Anolis sagrei: one gene and its partner. The protein of the gene in region 2 purifies or fractionates together with the protein of the main gene of each other region. This does not show direct contact. Links are inferred from orthologs where the notes say so. Each region holds a gene or a part of one and is shown on either strand. Other genes may lie near its edges. The genes, in order: ATP6V1F and ATP6V1A.

The links.
Region 1: the proteins of ATP6V1A (region 2) and ATP6V1F fractionate together in Homo sapiens (co-fractionation; 3 studies listed by BioGRID and IntAct, with this or other methods). This does not show direct contact. The link is inferred for Anolis sagrei from reciprocal best matches to the Homo sapiens genes ATP6V1A and ATP6V1F.

Annotation. Positions count from the first base shown.
Region 1 is NC_090025.1:196,097,741-196,108,526, forward strand, and holds the start of ATP6V1F (V-type proton ATPase subunit F), read left to right. Parts: upstream 1-6,539; 5' UTR 6,540-6,619; coding exon 6,620-6,777; intron 6,778-10,786. UniProt on the Homo sapiens protein: Subunit of the V1 complex of vacuolar(H+)-ATPase (V-ATPase), a multisubunit enzyme composed of a peripheral complex (V1) that hydrolyzes ATP and a membrane integral complex (V0) that translocates protons.
Region 2 is NC_090022.1:165,334,397-165,344,508, reverse strand, and holds the start of ATP6V1A (V-type proton ATPase catalytic subunit A), read right to left. Parts: upstream 4,312-10,112; 5' UTR 4,179-4,311; intron 1-4,178. Other genes in the region: NAA50 (N-alpha-acetyltransferase 50), read left to right, coding at 8,691-8,698. UniProt on the Homo sapiens protein: Catalytic subunit of the V1 complex of vacuolar(H+)-ATPase (V-ATPase), a multisubunit enzyme composed of a peripheral complex (V1) that hydrolyzes ATP and a membrane integral complex (V0) that translocates protons.

The DNA of each region.
Region 1 (10,786 bases), on a different chromosome or scaffold from region 2:
ACCAACGATAGAATTGGGCCAGACTTCCCACACAGAACTCCCATGACCAGCAGAAAATACTGTGTATCCTGATGGTCTTTGGTGATCCCTCCAACACCCCATCGCGACCCCCCCAGGGGTCCCGACCCCCAGGTTGAGAAACACTGCTCTAGTTTAATTCAGTCACTGCTAAGGATGAGCCTTCAGCAGTGATGGAGACTCCCCAGCAGTCTGAGGCTGAATCTATACTGCCATATCATCCAGATTACTATTTCTAGATTTAAGTCGTTGACACACTGGCTGATACCCAAACAGGGGATGAGCTGGAGATGTCTCTGCCTTGGTCCTTTCACTCTTGGCTGCTACTTCCCGGCGGATGTCAGGTGGTGCAATACCAGCTAGGCAGTGTAATTTCTCCAGTGGTGTAGGGCGCAGGCACCCCGTGATAATGCGGCATGTCTCATTAAGAGCCACATCCACTGTTTTAGCGTGGTGAGATGTGTTCCACACTGGGCATGCGTACTCAGCAGCAGAGTAGCATAGCGCAAGGGCAGATGTCTTCACTGTGTCTGGTTGTGATCCCCAGGTTGTGCCAGTCAGCTTTCGTATGATATTGTTTCTAGCACCCACTTTTTGCTTGATGTTCAGGCAGTGCTTCTTGTAGGTCAGAGCACGGTCCAGAGTGACTCCCAGGTATTTGGGTGCGCTGCAATGCTCCCGTGGGATTCCTTCCCTCCCAGGTAATAATCCTCAGAGCTTGGGATGCTTGTCTGTTCTTAAGGTGAAAGGCACATGTCTGTGTTTTAGATGGGTTGGGGATCAGCTTAAATCTAGAAATAGTTTTCTAAGATCTACAGAGACACTCGCTGGAACACCTCAGCAAGCGAGAGTCCAAAAGTGGCAGGCTCAAACCCAGAACCTCAATCAATGCTGATCCCAAATGAGAGACTCCCCCCTGGGCACACAGAGGACTGGGCGACTTGGAAGGCGCTGAACAGACTGTGCTCGGGCACCACGAGATGCAGAGCCAACCTCAAGAAATGGGGCCACAAAGTGGAATCCACGGCATGCGAGTGCGGAGAAGAGCAAACCACTGACGGTCTGCTGCAATGCAACCTGTGCAATGCAACACAATGGAGGACCTCCTTGCGGCAACACCAGAGGCACTCCAAGTGGCCAGATACTGGTCAAAGGACATTTATTTATTTATTTATTTATTTATTTATTTATTATTTATTTATTTATTTATTTATTTAGTACACTTGTATACCGCTAATATCTCAGCCTGTGCGGCGACTCATTGCGGTTTACAACATATTTAAAAATACAATATTCACTTTAAAAATATAAAATAAAATATAAAAATACAAAATAAAAAAAAATAAAAATAAAATAAAACATTTAACCAGCTACCAAGCTTGCAAAATTTGTGGTTTTTAAAAATCTGTTTGCATGTTTTGCTCTGTTAGAAATGTAATACAATGGTCTGGTTGCTGATGACACGATAAATACATACCCAGATAAAGAGAGAAGCACATCTTTGTTTTACCTTTATAGTGTCTGGGTGTGAAGGCACAATTATTATTATTATTATTATTATTATTATTATTATTATTATTCTGACACAAAAGCACAGTATGTTACAGCAAACAATGTGTATTGTTTCCCACTGCCGGCTGAGATCTTTTGGCATGGCACCCAGTGCGCCCATGACCACTGGGACCACCTGTACTGGGTTATGTTGTAAGCCGCATCGAATCCTTCGGGAGATGCTAGCGGGGTACAAATAAAGTTATAATAATAATAATAATAATAATAATAATAATAATAATATTATGCCAGAGCCTTTGCAGTTCGATTTTGAGGTCTTGATAGCAGCTGAGTTTTTCCTGTTTTTCCTCAATGCGACTGTCACCCGGTATGGCAACATCAATAATCCAGACTTTTTTCTTTTCCACAATAATAATAATAATAATAATAATAATAATAATAATAATAATGTTTCACCATTAAGCTGTATTTCTGGCATTGGAGAGGGATTGGCTGGTGACTGCTGGGAGAGCACTGGCTTTCTCGATGATGTTCAATGAGAGGCCGAGCTCGTATGCTTCTGCGAAGGTGTTTAGAGTGGCTTGTAGGTCTTCTTCTGAATGGGCACATACGGCGTTATCATCGGCATATTGGAGTTCTATAACCGATTATACTCCTGCGAAGGTGTTTAGAGTGGCTTGTAAGTCTTCTTCTGAATGTGCACATACGACGTTATCATCGGCATATTGCAGTTCTATAACCGATTATACTCCTGGACCGATCACCACCTGATCAGTTTTAGACTAACTGGGCCTCCTAACCTCCGCAAGGGTGGTGGACCTATTAGAATGGTCCGCCCCAGGAGACTTATGGATCCAAATGGACTCCTGATGGCTCTTGGGGATCTTCCCACCTCCTTGGCTAGTGATACTGTCGATGCTCTGGTCTCTCGTTGGAATAATGAGTTGACTAGGGCAATTGACACTATCGCTCCGGAACGCCCCCTCTCGAGTAACCGAGCTAAACCAGCCTCTTGGTTTACTGAGGAGCTGGCAGCAATGAAGCGAAAGAAGAGGAGGTTAGAGTGCGTGTGGCGCAAGAACCCCACCAATCCAGCCCAAACACACCTGAATGCCTTTTTAAGGTCCTACGGTGTGGCAATAACGGCGGCCCAGAAAATATTCATCACAGCCAATATTGCATCAGCAAAGAATCGTCCAGCGGAGCTTTTCCGAGTTGTCAGGGGCCTGTTAAATCCGCCAAAAAGCGAGGCCTCGGACAACTCGGTGGCTCGCTGTGAAGCATTTGCTCGATTCTTCGCGGATAAAACTGAGCGGATTTGGTCAGGTCTTGACGTCATGTTAACGGCAGTCTCCGGGGATGTAACGAGAGCATCTGCTTGTCCAGTTTTGTTGGATTCGTTTCAATTGGTTCAGCTTGAGGATGTGGACAGGATCCTTGGAGAGGTGCGACCCACCACATGCATCCTAGACCCCTGCCCATCCTGGCTGATTAAGGAAGCCAGAGGGGGTTTGGCGGAGTGGGTGAAGGTGATGGTTAACGCTTCCTTACAAGAAGGAAAATTTCCAGCGAGCTTAAAGCAAGCTATTATAAAACCGCTGTTGAAGAAACCATCACTGGATCCCACTCAATTTGACAACTTTCGGCCAGTTTCCAATCTCCCCTACTTGGGCAAAGTCATGGAACGTGTGGTGGCAACACAACTCCAGGGGTTTCTGGTAGACACTGATTATCTGGATCCGGCACAGTCTGGCTTTAGGCCGGGACATGGAACTGAGACAGCCTTGGTCGCCTTGGTAGATGATCTGCGCAGGGAACTGGACAGGGGGAGTGTGTCCCTGTTAGTTCTGCTGGACCTCTCAGCGGCTTTCGATACCGTCGATCACGGTATCCTTCTGGGTCGCCTCAGGGATATGGGGCTTGGGGGCACTGCTTTGCAGTGGCTCTGATCCTTCCTCGAGGGACGGACCCAGAAGGTGTTACTGGGTGACACCTGTTCGGCCCCACAACCGTTGTTGTGTGGAGTCCCACAGGGTTCAATTCTGTCCCTGATGTTATTTAACATCTACATGAAACCGTTGGGAGAGATCATTCGGAGTTTCGGAACGAGATGCTATCTCTACGCAGATGATGTCCAAATCTGTCACTCCTTCTCACCTGTCACCAAGGAGGCTGTCCAGACCTTGAACCGGTGTTTAGCTGCTGTATCGGACTGGATGAGAGCTAACAAATTGAAATTGAATCCAGACAAGACAGAGGTCCTACTGGTCAGTCGTAAGGCCAATCAGGGTATAGGGTTACAGCCTGTGTTAGACGGGGTTACACTCCCCCTGAAGACGCAGGTTCGCAGCTTGGGAGTGATCCTGGACTCATTGCTGAGCCTGGAACCCCAGGTCTCAGCGGTGGCCGGGAGAGCTTTCGCACAATTAAAACTTGTGCGCCAGCTGCGCCCGTACCTTGAGAAGCCAGATCTGGCCACGGTGGTCCACGCTCTTGTCACATCCCGGTTGGATTACTGCAACGCACTCTACGTGGGGTTGCCTTTGAAGACTGCTCGGAAACTACAATTAGTCCAGCGAGAAGCAGCCAGATTGCTCACCAGGGCGACGTATAGGGAGCACACCACCCCCCTGTTGCGTCAGCTCCACTGGCTGCCGATCCAATTCCGAGCACAATTCAAAGTGCTGGTTTTGACCTACAAAACCCTATACGGTTCCGGCCCGGTGTATTTGTCCGAACGGATCTCCCTCTACATCCCACCTCGAAACCTAAGATCTTCTGGGGAGGCCCTGCTCTCGACCCCGCCACTTTCACAAGTGAGGCTGGCGGGGACGAGGAGCAGGGCCTTCTCAGTGGTGGCCCCCCACCTGTGGAACTCACTCCCCGGGGAGGTTAGATCGGCATCTTCCCTCATGGTGTTTAGGAAAAGACTGAAGACCTGGATCTGGGATCAAGCCTTTGGCCATTCTGAAGGTTAACTGAAGGATCTGATGTTAGACAAGAACAATTAGAATGGAATGGACATATGAACTCTGAACCCGAGCATGAGATTGTTTATGTTTTTATTATGTTTTATTATGTTTTTATTATGTACTGATGTTTTAATTAATTGTTGTGATGGTTGTATTTGTATTGCTGTAAATTGTTCTGGGCATCTAATTGTGCCCCCACTGTAAGCCGCCCTGAGTCCCCCCCGGGGTGAGAAGGGCGGGGTATAAGTAAATGAAATAAATAAATAAATAAAATAAATAAATAAAGGTGTTTAGAGTGGCTTGTAAGTCTTCTTCTGAATGTGCACATACGACGTTATCATCGGCATATTGCAGTTCTATAACCGATTATACTCCTGCAAAGGTGTTTAGAGTGGCTTGTAGGTCTTCTTCTGAATGTGCACATAAAACGTTATCATCGGCATATTGGAGTTCTATAACCGATTATGGTTCTGCGAAGGTGTTTAGAGTGGCTTGTAGGTCTTCTTCTGAATGAGCACATACGACTTTATCATTGGCATATTGGAGTTCTATAACCGATTATACTCCTGCGAAGGTGTTTAGAGTGGCTTGTAGGTCTTCTTCTGAATGAGCACATACGACGTTATCATCGGCATATTGGAGTTCTATAACCGATTATACTCCTGCGAAGGTGTTTAGAGTGGCTTGTAGGTCTTCTTCTGAATGAGCACATACGACGTTATCATCGGCATATTGGAGTTCTATAACCGATTATACTCCTGCGAAGGTGTTTAGAGTGGCTTGTAGGTCTTCTTCTGAATGCGCACATACGACGTTATCATCGGCATATTGGAGTTCTATAACCGATTATACTCCTGCGAAGGTGTTTAGAGAGGCTTGTAGGTCTTCTTCTGAATGCGCACATACGACGGTATCATCGGCATATTGGAGTTCTATAACCGATTATACTCCTGCGAAGGTGTTTAGAGTGGCTTGTAAGTCTTCTTCTGAATGCGCACATACGACGGTATCATCGGCATATTGGAGTTCTATAACCGATTATACTCCTGTGAAGGTATTTAGAGTGGCTTGTAGGTCTTCTTCTGAATGCGCACAGACGACGTTATCATCGGCATATTGGAGTTCTATAACCGATTATACTCCTGCGAAAGTGTTTAGAGTGGCTTGTAGGTCTTCTTCTGAATGCGCACATACGACGTTATCATCGGCATATTGGAGTTCTATAACCAATTATACTCCTGCGAAGGTGTTTAGAGTTTCTTGTAAGTCTTCTTCTGAATACGCACATACGTTATCATCGGCATATTGGTGTTCTATAACCGATTACACTTCTGCAAAGGTGTTTAGAGTGGCTTGTAAGTCTTCTTCTGAATGCGCACATACGATGTTATCATCAGCATATTGGAGTTCTATAACCAATATTCTTGTAACCTTGGTTACAAATCAGATAATCTTGGGTTGTTGTAGGTTTTTTCGGGCTATATGGCCATGGTCTAGAGGCATCCTCTCCTGACGTTTCGCCTGCATCTATGGCAAGCATCCTCAGAGGTAGTGAGGTCTGTTGGAACTGGGAAAATGGGTTTATATATCTGTGGCATGACCAGGGTGGGACAAAGGACTCTTGTCTGCTGGAGCTAGGTGTGAATGTTTCAGCTGACCACCTTGATTAGCATACAATGGCCTGACAGTGTCTGGGGCAAACGTTTGAGAGGTAATTAGATGTTAGATTAGATCAGATAATCTTGTTTACAAATCAGATAATCTGGATCTTATATGGCAGTGTGGAAGGGGCCTGAGCCAGGTGAGGCAAACAAGCCCAGCGAGAAGTTATACAGGGAGCGTGCAGAGCCCTCCAGAAAGATGTCCATCCAGCGTCTGTTTGAAAGCCTCCAAAGAGGCAGAGAGTTCCCCAGGACAGGCCAGAAAGTTTTTCCTCAAGCTCAACATCCGTGTGTGCCTCTACTGGTTTCTATCTCTGTGGACAGCTGCAGCAGCAAACCTGGACGCATGCGCAGAGAGCCATGAGGCGACTGCGCATGCACCTCCGTGCAGTATAACAGCTCCCTACGGCGGCCGCTCGGGGTCATTCTTATCCCTCGCGCGTTTCCTGAGGCGTCATGGCCGGCCGGGGGAAGCTCATCGCCGTCCTGGGAGACGAGGACACGGTGACCGGCTTCCTGCTGGGAGGCGTCGGGGAGCTCGACAAGCACCGCCGCCCGAACTTCTTGGTGGTGGAGAAGGAGACCGCCCTGGCCGAAATCGAGGAGGCCTTCCGGTAATTCGAATTGGGGACGCGGGGGGCGGGGGGGGGGAGGGGAGAGAACTAGGTGGAACAGCCGGTTGCCGTGGAAACGCAGGGGTTTGGACTGAACCACTCTCCCAGGAAAGATAGGGGGAAATGCCTGGGTTTGGACTGAACCAATTAATGGAGGGGAAGGGAATAAAGTTACAGCCTTGAGTCTCTTTCGGGGAGAGAAAAAGCGGGGATTAAATAGTAATCATAATTATGACAATAATATAGTAAATATAAAATATAGTAAATATAAATAAATAAGTATATAATATAATATTTATAATATTGTAATTTAATGCAATATAATACTACTAATAATAATATATTATAATTATATATTTATAATACATGTAATGTTACTAATAATATTACAGTATAATTGATATAGTGCAATATAGCAATATTTAAAACTGATATTGTACTATGTTAATAATATATTGGGTTGTTGTAGGTATTTTCGGGCTATAGGGCCATGTTCTAGAGGCATTCTCTCCTGACGTTTCGCCTGCATCTATGGCAAGCATCCTCAGAGGTAGTGAGGTCTATTGGAACTAGGAAAAAGGGTTTATGTATCTGTGGAATGACCAGGGTGGGGCAGATAGCTCTTCTCTGCTAGAGCTAGGTGTGAATGTTTCAACTGACCTTGGAATAAGGGATGTGCAACCTATATTTGCTTCCCATGGGTTGCAGGAAAAAAAAATCCTTAACTATATTGCTGTTATGTTTATTTATACCCCACTTTACCTCTCCCGAAGGAGACTCAAAGCGGCTTACCATTAAAAGTAAGTGGTTAGACCACATCTGGAATATTGTGTCCAATTCTGGGTGCCACAGTTCAAGAGAGATATTGACAAGCAGGAATGTGTCCAGAGGAGGGCAACTAAAATGATCAAGGGTCTGGAGAACAAGCCCTATGAGGAGCGGCTTAGGGAACTGGGCATGTTTAGCCTGAAGAAGAGAAGGCTGAGAGGAGATATGATAGCTGTGTATATATATGTGAGAGGAAGCCACAGGGAAGAGGGAGCAAGCTTGTTTTCTGCTTCCTTGGAGACTAGGACGCGGAACAATGGCTTCAAACTACAAGAGAGGAGATTCCATCTGAACATGAGGAAGAACTTCCTGACTGTGAGAGCCGTTCAGCAGTGGAACTCTCTGCCCCGGAGTGTGGTGGAGGCTCCTTCTTTGGAAGCTTTTAAGCAGAGGCTGGATGGCCATCTGTCAGGGGTGATTTGAATGCAATATTCCTGCTTCTTGGCAGAAAGGGGTTGGACTGGATGGCCCATGAGGTCTCTTCCAACTCTTTGATTCTATGATTCTATGAAAAGTAGGATCACATAATTTAAATTGTACAAATATGCAAACATTAAAACAGAATTAAAATTCACATTTAAAATCCATTAAAACATACTGAAAACTAAAAATCATATATATATATATATATATGAGAATGACTTGGGTGGATGATAGTTACTTCCCTCCCAGCAGATCCCGGAGATGTCTTTCCTCTTTTAAATTAATCACACTTCATGTCTCAAGGTCAAAAGTTTCCATTTCTGCTTTTGGGTAGAATGAGAAACACTTCCTCTATTTTTCTACTGGGAAAATCTATGACTCCAGAAGGGTCAGCTGATGGGAGGACTTGTTTCTCTTGTGATAAACGAATGAATACATTTGGCTACAGCCTTTGCTTTGCAGAACTGTTTACTGTGGAATGTTTTTTAAATGTCGAGAGCCACTTTGCATCTAGATCAGTGGTTCCCAACCTTTTTTTGACCAGGGATCACTCTCCAAAATTAGTACCAAAAGGGTTAAGAATCAGCGGACCACTCCAAAATTAGTACAAAAAGGGTTACGAATCAGTTTTTAGATTCAGTTTCATTATTTGGGGCTCTGATTCAGAAAATTGCATTGGACAGACCAAATAACAACAACTACTAGAATCATAGTTTGAAGAGACCTCCTGGGCCATCCAGTCCAACCCCATTCTGCCAAGAAGCAGAAATATTGCATTCAAATCACCCCTGACAGATGGCCATCCAGCCTCTGTTTAAAAGCTTCCAAAGAAGGAGCCTCCACCACACTCCGGGGAAGAGAGTTCCACTGCTGAACGGCTCTCACAGTCAGGAAGTTCTTCCTCATGTTCAGATGGAATCTCCTTTCTTGTAGTTTGAAGCCACTAAAAAAAAATTGATTTTGTCATTTGGGAATTGTCGTTGCTGGGACTCAAACAGTGATGGATCTGGACCAAACTTGGCACAAATATTCCATATGCCCAAATATGAACACAGATGGAGTTTAAGGGAAATTCCAGCAACGACATTATTCCACAGATATAAAAAGGGTTTATATATCCGTGGAATAATGACAAGGGTGGGACAAAGGACTCTCGTCTGCTAGAGCTAGGTGTAAATGTAAAATCACAACAGCACAACAGAGGAAACAAACAAGGACATCTAATCACCTCTCAACAAAAGATTGCTCCAGGCACTGTCAGGGCATTATATGCTAATCAAGATAGTCAGTTGAAACATTCACCCCTAGCTCCAGCAGACAAGAGTCCTTTGTCCCACCCTGGCCATTCCACAGATATATAAACCCTTTTTCCTAGTTCCTACAGATCTCACTGCCTCTGAGGATGCTTGCCATAGATGCAGGCGAAACGTCAGGAGAGAATGCCTCTAGAACATGGCCATATAGCCCAAAAAAAACCTACAACAACCCAGCATTGAAAACTGTTTGAAAATATAGCTTGAGAAGATTCATTCCCACAACACTAAAGTGGATTGTGTCTGATTGTGTTAAATGCAACTCAAAGAAAGCAGAACCACTGGAAAGGGATTATAAGGAGTATGGAAGTTGTGGTGGAAAAAATAAATAAAATAAAAACTGCCCTCCTTATCCTTTGAAGCAGATAATACTCCTTTCTTTGGTATTGCTGGGTCTTGCTCCCTTTCTTTAGAGCAGGGGTCCTCAAACTAAGGGGCCAGATGCGGCCCTACAAGGTCATTTACCTGGCCCTCGCTCATACAATCATAGAATCCTAGAATCAAAGAGTTGGGAGAGACCTCATGGGCCATCCAGTCCAACCCCATTCTGCCAAGAAGCAGGAATATTGCATTCAAAGCACCCCTGACAGATGGCCATCCAGCCTCTGTTTAAAAGCTTCCAAAGAAGGAGTCTCCACCACACTCCGGGGCAGAGAGTTCCACTGCTGAACGGCTCTCTCAGTCAGGAATCATAGAATCAAAGAGTTGGATGAGACCTCCTGGGCCATCATCCAGTCCAACCCCATTCTGCCAAGAAGCAGGAATATTGCATTCAAATCACCCCTGACAGATGGCCATCCAGCCTCTGTTTAAAAGCTTCCAAAGAAGGAGTCTCCACCACACTCCGGGGCAGAGAGTTCCACTGCTGAACGGCTCTCACAGTCAGGAAGTTCTTCCTCACTTAAGTCTGAAACGACTTGAAGGCACACAACAACAACAACAACAATCCTATCTCATCAGCCAAAAGCAGGCCCACACATCCCATTGAAATACTAATAAGTTTATATTTGTTAAAATTGTTCTTCATTTTAATTATTGTATTGTTTTTAAGTGTTGTTTTTTTGCACTACAAATAAGATATGTGCAGTGTGCATAGGAATTCATTCATGCTTTTTTCAAATTATAATCCAGCCCTCCAACAGTTTGAGGGACTGTGACCTGGCCCTCTGTTTAAAAGGTTTGTGGACCTATGCTTTAGAGTCTGTGCAATAAACTAGAGATTTGCTAAGGCATGGAGGTGTGGAATTCAAGGCTGTTATTTTGCATCAAGTCCTTCTTTGTCCTTGTGTTTGAAGGAATTTGCAATTTCCTCTCTTGAAAGAACCAGATCAGACAAAGGTTTGGCTCTCATTCTGTTTACACACAAACAACCGTCTTCCAAAAGGCCTCTGATGCGGGTTTTAACTGACTTCTGCCCGGTCCCTCCTTTGCCTGACCTTAGAAGG
Region 2 (10,112 bases):
ACATACGGACCCACAAGAATACTGGAAGACAATCCTCCTCGGAAAACGAGAGATCACCTAAGTTAAGTTAGGTTAATTTCCATACCTCACCTTACAAGATATTTAGAAGTAGTTACAAGAAATGACTCTGTTGATCAACCGTTCATTGCAGATTTTCCATTGTCTCTATTACAGATTGCTGTGATGCCAATAGCAATACCAATGTCTACTCCTGAGTTTTGAATCCAGTGATTTTGGCTATTTCCTTGGACAGAAAGCCATAATAGGTAAGTCTTATCTTAAATCTATATACTGTATATACTCGAGTATAAGCCTAGTTTTTCAGCCCTTTTTTTCAGGCTTATACTCGAGTCAAGGTTATTTATTATTTTACTCTGTTGTCGTTATTATTATTATTACACGTATTATTTATTCTAGTTATTATTATTATTATATTTATCATTTTCCTCCATTATTATTACATTATTTTTTACTTTATAATTGTTTACTGCTACATTCATTATTTTACTCTTTTATTACTATTATTACATTTCCAATATTTTACTCTATTATTATTATTATTATTACATTTATTATTTTACTCTATTATTATTGGAAGGATACGTAAGCACGTTTACGTTGAAGAAGGTTATTATAATGGTTTAATCAGAGTTTGACAGTCTTATCTTAAATTACAATGTTATGAAAATATTCAAAAACATTTCACCTACTGATGCCTCAATTAATATAATTTTATTGATATCTATTTTTATTTTGAAATTCACCATTAGCTGCTGCATTTCCCACCTCGGCTTATACTCGAGTCAATACATTTTTCCCAGTTTTTTATGGTAAAATTAGGTGCATCGGCTTATATTCGGGTCGGCTTATACGCGAGTATATACGGTATATATAAATGCTCTGTGCATAATGAGTACCTTAAAAACAAAAGAACCTATGAATGAAATCACACCAAATTTGGCAACAAAATGTCTCACTACACAAGGAGTGACCATCAATCAAAAAAGTATGATTTTGTCATTTGGGAGTTGTAGTTGCTGGGATGTATAGTTCACCTACAATCAAAGAGCACTCTGAACTCCACCAACAATCGAATTGACCTAAACTTGGCACACAGAATCCCATGACCAACAGAAAATACTGAAAGGGTTTGGTGGGCATTGACCTTGAATTTTGGAATTGTAGTTCACCTCCATCCAGGGAACACTGTGGACTCAAACAATGATGGATCCGGACCAAACTTGACAGGAATACTCAATATGCCCAAATGCAATGGCAAGAGTGCAACAGGACCCAAAGGAATGGGGGCAGTCTGCTGAGCAGGCCATTGAATAAGCCAGTGGTGATTCCAGTCCAATAAGGGCAGAATCCCAAGCAAGTGCACAAAAAGCGCAGGGGGGGGGGGGGGTGGGCAAGCAAAGCAAGGCCTGTCAATGTATTGTCGAAGGCTTTCATGGCCGGAATCACTGGGCTGTTGTAGGTTTTCTCAGGCTATATGGCCATGTTCTAGAGGTATTTTCTCATGACGTTTCACCTGCATCTATGGTAAGCATCCTCAGAGGTAGTGAGGTCTATTGGAACTAAGAAAGTGGGTTTATATATCTGTGGAATGACCAAGGTGGGGCAAAGAACTCTTGTCTGTTGGAGCTAGGTGTGAATGTTTCAACTGACCACCTTGATTAGCATTTGATTGCCTGGAAGTGCCTGGGGGAATCTTTTGTTGAGAGGTGATTGGATCACTGGGTTGTTGCAGATTTTTCGGGCTATATGGCCATGTTGTAGAGGCATTTTCTCCTGACGTTTCGCCTGCATCGATGGCAAGCATCCTCTGAGGTAGTGACGTCTATTGGAACTAGGAAAGTGGGTTTATATATCTGTGAAATTACCGGGGTGGGGCAAAGAACTCTTGTCTCTTGGAGCTAGGTGTGACTGTTTCAACTGACCACCTTGATTAGCATTTGATGGCCTGGCAGTTATTGGGGGAATCTTTTGTTGAGAGGTAATTAGATGACTGGGTTGTTGCAGATTTTTCCGGCTATATGGCCATGTTCTAAAGGCATTCCCTCCTGACGTTTCGCCTGCATCTATGGCAAGCATCCTCAGAGGTAGTGAGGTCTATTGGAACTAGGAAAGTGGGTTTATATATCTGTGAAATGACCGGGGTGGGGCAAAGAACTCTTGTCTGTTGGAGCTAGGTGTGAATGTTTCAACTGACCACCTTGATTAGCATTTATTTATTTATTTATTTACTTTGTTTGTATACCGCTCTTCTCAGCCCTTAGGCGACTCAGAGCGGTTTACAACAATTTAGGTATACACAATACAAAATCATTAAGCATTTAAAAGCAATAGCATCACAAATCATTAAACATCAATATCAATACATCACTACATCAATATAACAAATCCATCAGGTCTCATCAATGAAATCAGAATTCAAACTCGTTATCCGATATTCCGTGTTCCGATAGTCAATCAATCACACTGCTTAGTCGAATGCCTATTCCAGGGGTCCTCAAACTTTTTAAACGGAGGGCCAGGTCACAGTCCCTCAAACTGTTGGAGGGCCGAATTATAATCTGAAAAAACATGAATGAATTCCTATGCACACTGCACATATCTTATTTGTTGTGCAAAAAAACACAGAAAATAATAAAATAATTAAAATGAACAATTTTAACAAATATAAAATTATTAGTATTTCAATGGGAAGTGTGGGTCTACTTTTGGCTGATGAGATAGGATTGTTGTTATTGTTTGCTTTCAAGCCGTTACAGACTTAGATTGACCCTGAGTGAGGGCCAGGTAAATGACCTTGGAGGGCCGCATTCGGCCCCCAGGCCTTAGTTTGAGGACCCCTGGCCTATTCAAACAGCCAGGTCTTTACTTTCCTACGGAATGCCAGCAAGGAGGGGGTCAATCTAATATCTGCAGGAAGGGCATTCCACAGCCGACGGGCCACCACTGAGAAGGCCCTGTCTCTCCTCCCCGCTAGGCGTGCTTGTGAAGCCAGCGGGATCGAGAGCAGGGTCTCCCCAGACGATCTTAATGTCCTAACTGGTTCATAGGAGGAGACGCGTTCGGACAGGTAGGTCGGGCCAGAACCGTTTAGGGCTTTGATGGCCTGGCAGTGCCTGGGGCAATCTTTTGTTGAGAGGTGATTAGATCACTGGGTTGTTGTAGATTTTTTGGGCTATATGGCCATGTTCTAAGGCAAGGGTCCTCAAACTTTCTAAACAGAGGGCCAGGTCATATTTCCTCAAACTGTTGGCGGGCCGGATTATAATTTGAAAAAAAATGAATGAATTCCTATGCACACTACACATATCTTATTTGTAATGCAAAATACACTTTAAAACAATACAATAATTAAAATGAAGAACAATGTTAACAAATTCAATGGGAAGTGTGGGTCTGCTTTTGGCTGATGAGATAGGATTGTTGTTGTTGTTTGCTTTCAAGCCATTACAGACTTAGATTAACTCTGAGTGAGGGCCAGGTAAATGACCTTGGAGGGCCACATCCGGCCCCCAGGCCTTAGTTTGAGGACCCCTGGCCTATTCAAACAGCCAGGTCTTTACTTTCCTCCGGAATGCCAGCAAGGAGGGGGTCGATCCAATATCTGCAGGAAGGGCGTTCCACAGCCGAGGGGCCACCACTGAGAAGGCCCTGTCTCTCGTCCCCGCTAGGCGTGCTTGTGAAGCCGGCGGGATCGAGAGCAGGGTCTCCCCAGACGATCTTAATGTCCTAACTGGTTCATAGGAGACGCGTTCAGACAGGTAGGTCAGGCCAGAACCGTTTAGGGCTCTGATGGCCTGGCAGTGCCTGGGGAACTTTGTTGAGAGGTGATTAGATCACTGGGTTGTTGCAAATTTTTCGGGCTATATGGCCATGTTCTAGCAGCATTCCCTCCTGACGTTTCGCCTGCATCTATGGCAAGCATCCTCAGAGGTTGTGTGGTCCCCACAATCTCTGAGAATGCCTGCCATAGATGCAGGCGAAACTGCCAGAACGTGGCCTTACAATCCCAAAACCTACAACAACCCAAGGCCTGTCGGTTTGAGGAAATTGCGCCTGCCATAAATGACAAGCGCGGTCAGAAGCAAGGACTGGGGCCCTTCCTCCTCGAGGGGCTTCGGAGGGTCCAGGCCGAGGGGAAGGGCGTCCCGGGGCCTCACCTGGGATACAGGACAGAGCTGTGGCGCCTCCGGAAGCAGCTGGCTCCTTCGCTTCCTTCAACGCCGCAGGAGGAAGGTGAATGCGTCTGCCACCCCCGGGAATCTAGTGCGCATGCGCTTAACCAAGTGCACTTCCTCTTCCGCCTCGTCCGACGTTCTGCAGACTTTCCGTGCATAAGGAGTGAGTCAGGAAGCAGAGCTCTGTTAGGGTCAGCCCCCCCCCCCACCTTTTCAGTCACGTGACGGGCTTGCCAGATAATAGATAGAGATTCCTTGTTGTGTCTGACCTATGGCAACCCTAAGATTACTCTTATCTAGAAATGAGTGAGTTGCCCAAGGTCGCTCAGGCCAGCAATCAGGAGGGTTAATGCAGCTGTACTTCACACCAGGGGCATAAATACTACTACTACTACTTCTACTACTACTCATCATCATCATCATCATTATATAAATAAAAATGTAATGTTCGTTTGTGGGATGAACAAAACTCAAAAACCAGTGGGCCGATTGACACCAAATTTGGACAGCATACACCTAACAACCCAAACTATGTTCTTCACTCAATTTTTTTTAATTTTGTCATTTGGGAGATGTAGTTGCTGGGATTTATATTTCACCTACAATCAAAGAGCATTCTGAACTCCACCAATGATGGAATTGGACTAAACTTAGCACACAGGGCTCCCATGACCAACAGAAATAAAACTGGAAGGATTTGGTGGACATTGACCTTGAGTCTGGGAATTGTAGTTCACCCACATCCAGAGAGCACTGTGGACTCAAACAATGATAGATCTGGACCAAATTTGGCACAAATATTCCATATGCCCAAATATGAACACAGATGGAGTTTGGGGGAAATAGACCTTGACATTTGGGAGTTGTAGTTGCTGGGATTTATAGTTCACCTACAATCAAAGAGCATTCTGAACTCCACCAATGATGGAATTGAACCAAACTTGGCAGATAGGACTCCCAGCCATAGATATAGATAGATAGATAGATAGATAGATAGATAGATAGATATGATTCTCACACACACACACAGATATAGTATCATAGATTTGAAAGAGACCCCTAGAGAAGGACTATGATATGTTGCATGTTCCAGGGTGGGCAAACCAGACACTCTCCACATCAACACTGACAAAGAAACAACAAGAAATACTGTTTACTCACAAGCCTAAAAGAATTACATATATTAGAAACTAATACTTTCTAATTACTTTATTTTCCAGATCACCAGACTGGGCCACAGCAACGCGTGGCAGGGGACAGCTAGTAAATAATAATAATAAACTTTATTTATACCCCGCCACCATCTCCCCGATGGGGACTCGAAGCGGCTTACATGGGGCCAAACCCGAACAACATATTGTTGTTCATTCGTTCAGTCGTTTCCAACTCTTCGTGACCTCATGGACCAGTCCACGCCAGAGCTCCCTGTCGGCCGTCACCATCCCCAGCTCCTTCAAGGTCAATCCAGTCACTTCAAGGATACCATCCATCCATCTTGCCCTTGGTCGGCCCATCTTCCTTTTTTCTTCCATTTTCCCCAGCATCATTGTCTTCTCTAAGCTTTCCCATCTTCTCATGATGTGGCCAAATTACTTCATCTTGGCCTCTAATATCCTTCCCTCCAATGAGCAGTCGGGGTTTATTTCCTGAAGTATGGACTGGTTGGATCTTCTCGCAGCCCAAGGCACTCTCAGCACTTTTCTCCAACACCACAGTTCGAAAGCATCTGTCTTCCTTCGCTCAGCCTTCCCTATGGTGCAGCTCTCAAATCTGTAGATGTCTACAGGGAATACCATTGCTTTGACTATGCGGATCTTTGTTGGCAGTGTGATGTTTCTACTCTTCACTATTTTATCGAGATTCACCATTGCTCTCCTCCCAAGAAGTAAGTGTCTCCTGATTTCCTGGCTGCAGTCTGTGTCTGTAGTAATCTTTTCACCTAGAAATACAAAGTCTGTCACGGCCTCCACGTTTTCTCCCTCTACTTTCCAGTTGTCAATCATTCTTGTTGCCATAATCTTGGTTTTTATTATGTTTAACTGCAACCCAGCTTTTGCACTTTCTTCTTTCACCTTGATCAGAAGGCTCCTCAGCTCCTCCTCGCTTTTGGCCATCAAAGTGGTGTCATCTGCATATCTAAGGTTGTTAATGTTTCTTCCAGGATTTTCACCCCAGCCTTGCATTCCTCAAGCCCCACACATCGCATGATGTGTTCTACATACAAGTTGAATAGTTTGGGGGAGAGTATACAGCCCTGTCATACGCCTTTCCCAATCTTGAACCAGTCTGTTGTTCCATAGTCAGTTCTTACTGTTGCTACTTGGTCCTTATATAGATTCCTCAGGAGATAGACAAGGTGATTTGGTATGCCCATTCCACCAAGAACTTGCCACAATTTATTATGATCCACACAGTCAAAGTCTTTAGAATAGTCAATAAAACAGAAATAGATGTTTTTCTGAAACTTCCTGCCTTTCTCCATTATCCAGCGGATATTGGCAATTTGGTCTCTCGTTCCTCTGCCTTTTCTAAACCCAGCTTGAACATCTGGCAACTCTCTCTCCATGTATTGCCGGAGTCTTCCTTGCAGGATCTTGAGCATTACCTTACTGGCATGAGAAATAAGGGCCACTGTACGGAAGTTTGAGCAGTCTTTCGCATTTCCCTTTTTTGGTATGGGGATATAAGTTGATTTTTTCCAGTCTGATGGCCAACAACATTGCCATCAACAACAACAACATATTACATCAAGATAAAACCAAAACATAAACAAGCAACATCATCAAAATTACATTAAAAATTAAATAACAAAATAGCATTACAATCAACAAAAAGCACAGACATAGTAAACAGTGGACGGGCCACTTGTACAGGCTAAAATGTTAAAAACTATAATGAGATAAAAATAGGAGCAAGTTATTTGCCAGGTGCTCATAAAGATACACAGGGTTGTGAAACCAAACTTCCCATTTGGAGGGGGGGGGGCTGTATTTCAGTGACAGAAGCGTTGAGGGGAAGCGTTGATAAAGCTGCAGAATTCTGGGGAACGTAGTTTAGGATGTTGCAATTTTAGAATTTTTTAATACTGGTAGCCAGATCTTGTTCATTTTCATGGTTTCTTCCTTTCTGTTGAAATTGTCCACATGTTTGTGGATTTCAGTGGCTTCTCTGTGTAGTCTGACATGGTAGTTGTGAGAGTGGTCCAGCATTTCTGTGTTCTCAAGTAATATATTGTGTCCAGGTTGGTTCATCAGGTACTCTGCTATGGCTGACTTCTCTGGTTGAAGTAGTCTGCAGTGCCTTTCATGTTCCTGGATTCTTGTTTGGGCAATGCTGCGTTTGGTGGTCCCTATGTAGACTTGTCCACAGCTGCATGGTATACGGTAGACTCCTGCAGAGGTGAGAGGATCCCTCTTGTCCTTTGCTGAACGTAGCATTTGTTGGATTTTCTTGGTGGGTTTGTAGATTGTTTGTATGTTGTGTTTCCTCATCACAAGTCTACATAGGGACCACCAAATGCAGCATTGCCCAGACACGCATCAAGGGACATGAAAGGCACTGCAGACTACTTCAACCAGAGAAGTCAGCCATAACAGAGCACCTGATGAACCAACCCGGACACAGCATTTTATTTGAGAACACAAAAATGCTGGACCACTCTCACAACCACCATGTCGGACTACACAGAGAAGCCACTGAAATCCACAAACATGTGGACAATTTCAACAGAAAGGAAGAAACCATGAAAATGAACAAGATCTGGCTACCAGTATTAAAAAATTCTAAAATTGCAACAGCAAAAACAGCAGAGAGAAAAACAGGCAGAGACATCTAATCACCTTTCAAGAAGAGTTTGCTCCAGGCACAGTCAGCCCATTGTATGCTAATCAAGGTGGTCAGTTGAAAGATTCACACCTAGCCCAACTTACAAAAGCCCTTTGTCTCACCCTGGTCATTCCACAAATATATAAACCCCCTTTTTTCCCTTTTTTCCAACAGACCTCACTACCTCTGAGGATGCTTGCCATAGATGCAGGCGAAACGTCAGGAGAAATGCCTCTAGAACATGGCCATATAGCCCGAAAAAACCCACAAGAACTGAGTGATTCCAGCCATGAAAGCCTTCGACAATACATATTAGGTTGTACTTTGGGGGACAGTGGGGGGCTCAGTACAAAGTAGCGAGAAGGAACAACACCGGCCCCCAGCGGAAGAGCTGTGGCTCTTTTGCGCATGTCGAGAGGACCAGGCCCCGCCCGCTTTCTTTGACAGGCCTCCCTCAGGAAAGCGCGCGGGAACACGGCCGGAAGTGCGCGCGCCGTCACGCCGACGTGAAAGGCAAAAGGTCGGCCAGAGGGGCGGGGCTCCGCGCGCGCACGCTCGCTGCCTGGCTCGCCCGCGCGGTCGGTCGGAGCGGCCTGAGGCCCATGTGGATCGACGGCGGAAGTCGCCCAACCGCCAGCCCCGAGTCGAGGTCTCCGGCCCCCGGCAGCTATGAAGGGGTGAGTGCGGCGCCGGCCGTCCCAACCAGCACCCGGCGGCGGCGGTGGTTGTGTGCCGTCCCCGCCCGTCTTCGGGAGTTGAGGCGAGGGGGCCCGCTCGTGTTGCCGGGCCTCGCGCAAAGACAGCGGGTGGGAAGAGGGGGGGAAGGAAGGCGCGGGAGGCCTGCGCGGAGGGGGGCCCTCGCGCCAGTGGAACACGCGGGAACGGTTTCCATAGTGGGCTTTCCCACACAGACATGTAACCCGCAATATCAAGGCAGGTAATCTATATAAATAAAAATGTAATGTTTGTTTGTGGGATTAACATAACTCAAAAACCACTGGACGAATTGACACCATATTTGGACACAAGACACCTAATAACCCAATGTATGTCCTTCACTCAAAAATTGATTTTGTCATTTGGGAATTGTAGTTGCTGGGATGTATAGTTCACCTACAATCAAAGAGCATTCTGAACCCCACCGACAATAGAGTTGAACCAAACTTGACACACACTTCTCCCATGACCGAGAGAAAATACTGGAAGGGTTTGGTGGGCAGTGTCCTTTGGTTTTGGAGTTGTAGTTCACCTACATCCAGAGAGCACTGTGGACTCAAACAATGATGGATCTGGACCAAACTCTACACGAATACTCAATATGCCCAAATGTGGAGTTTGGGGAAAATAGAATCTTGAAATTTGGGAGTTGTAGTTGCTGGGATTTATAGTTCACCTACAATCACAGAGCATTCTGAACCCCACCAACAATAGGATTGGGCCAAACCTTCCACACAGAACACCCATGACAACCAGAGTGGGCCACAGCAACGCGTGGCAGGGGACGGCTAGTAAATAAATCAAAATATAATGTTCGTTTGTGGGATTAACAGAACTCAAAAACCAATGGACGAATTGACAGCAAATTTGGACACAAGACACCTAACAACCCAATGTATGTCCTTCACTCAAAAAAATTGATTTTGTCATTTGGGAGTTGTAGTTGCTGGGATTAATATTTCACCTACAATCAAAGAGCATTCTGAACCCCATCAACGATGGAATTGAAACAAACTTGGCACACAGTTCTCCCATGACAAACAGAAAATACTGGAAGGGTTTGGTGGGCATTGGCCTTGTGTTTGGGAGTTGTAGTTCACCTACATTCAGAGAGCACTGTGGACTCAAACAATGTAGTTGTAGTTCACCAGAGAGCACAGCATGATGGATCTGGACCAAACTTCGCATGAATACTCAATATGCCCAAATGTGTACACTGGTGGAGTTTGGAGAAAATAGAATCTTGACATTTGGGAGTTGTAGTTGCTGGGATTTGTAGTTCACCTACAATCACAGAGCATTCTGAACCCCAGCAATGATCGATTTGGGCCAAACCTCCCACACAGAACTCCCGGAGTGGGCCACAGCTAGTCT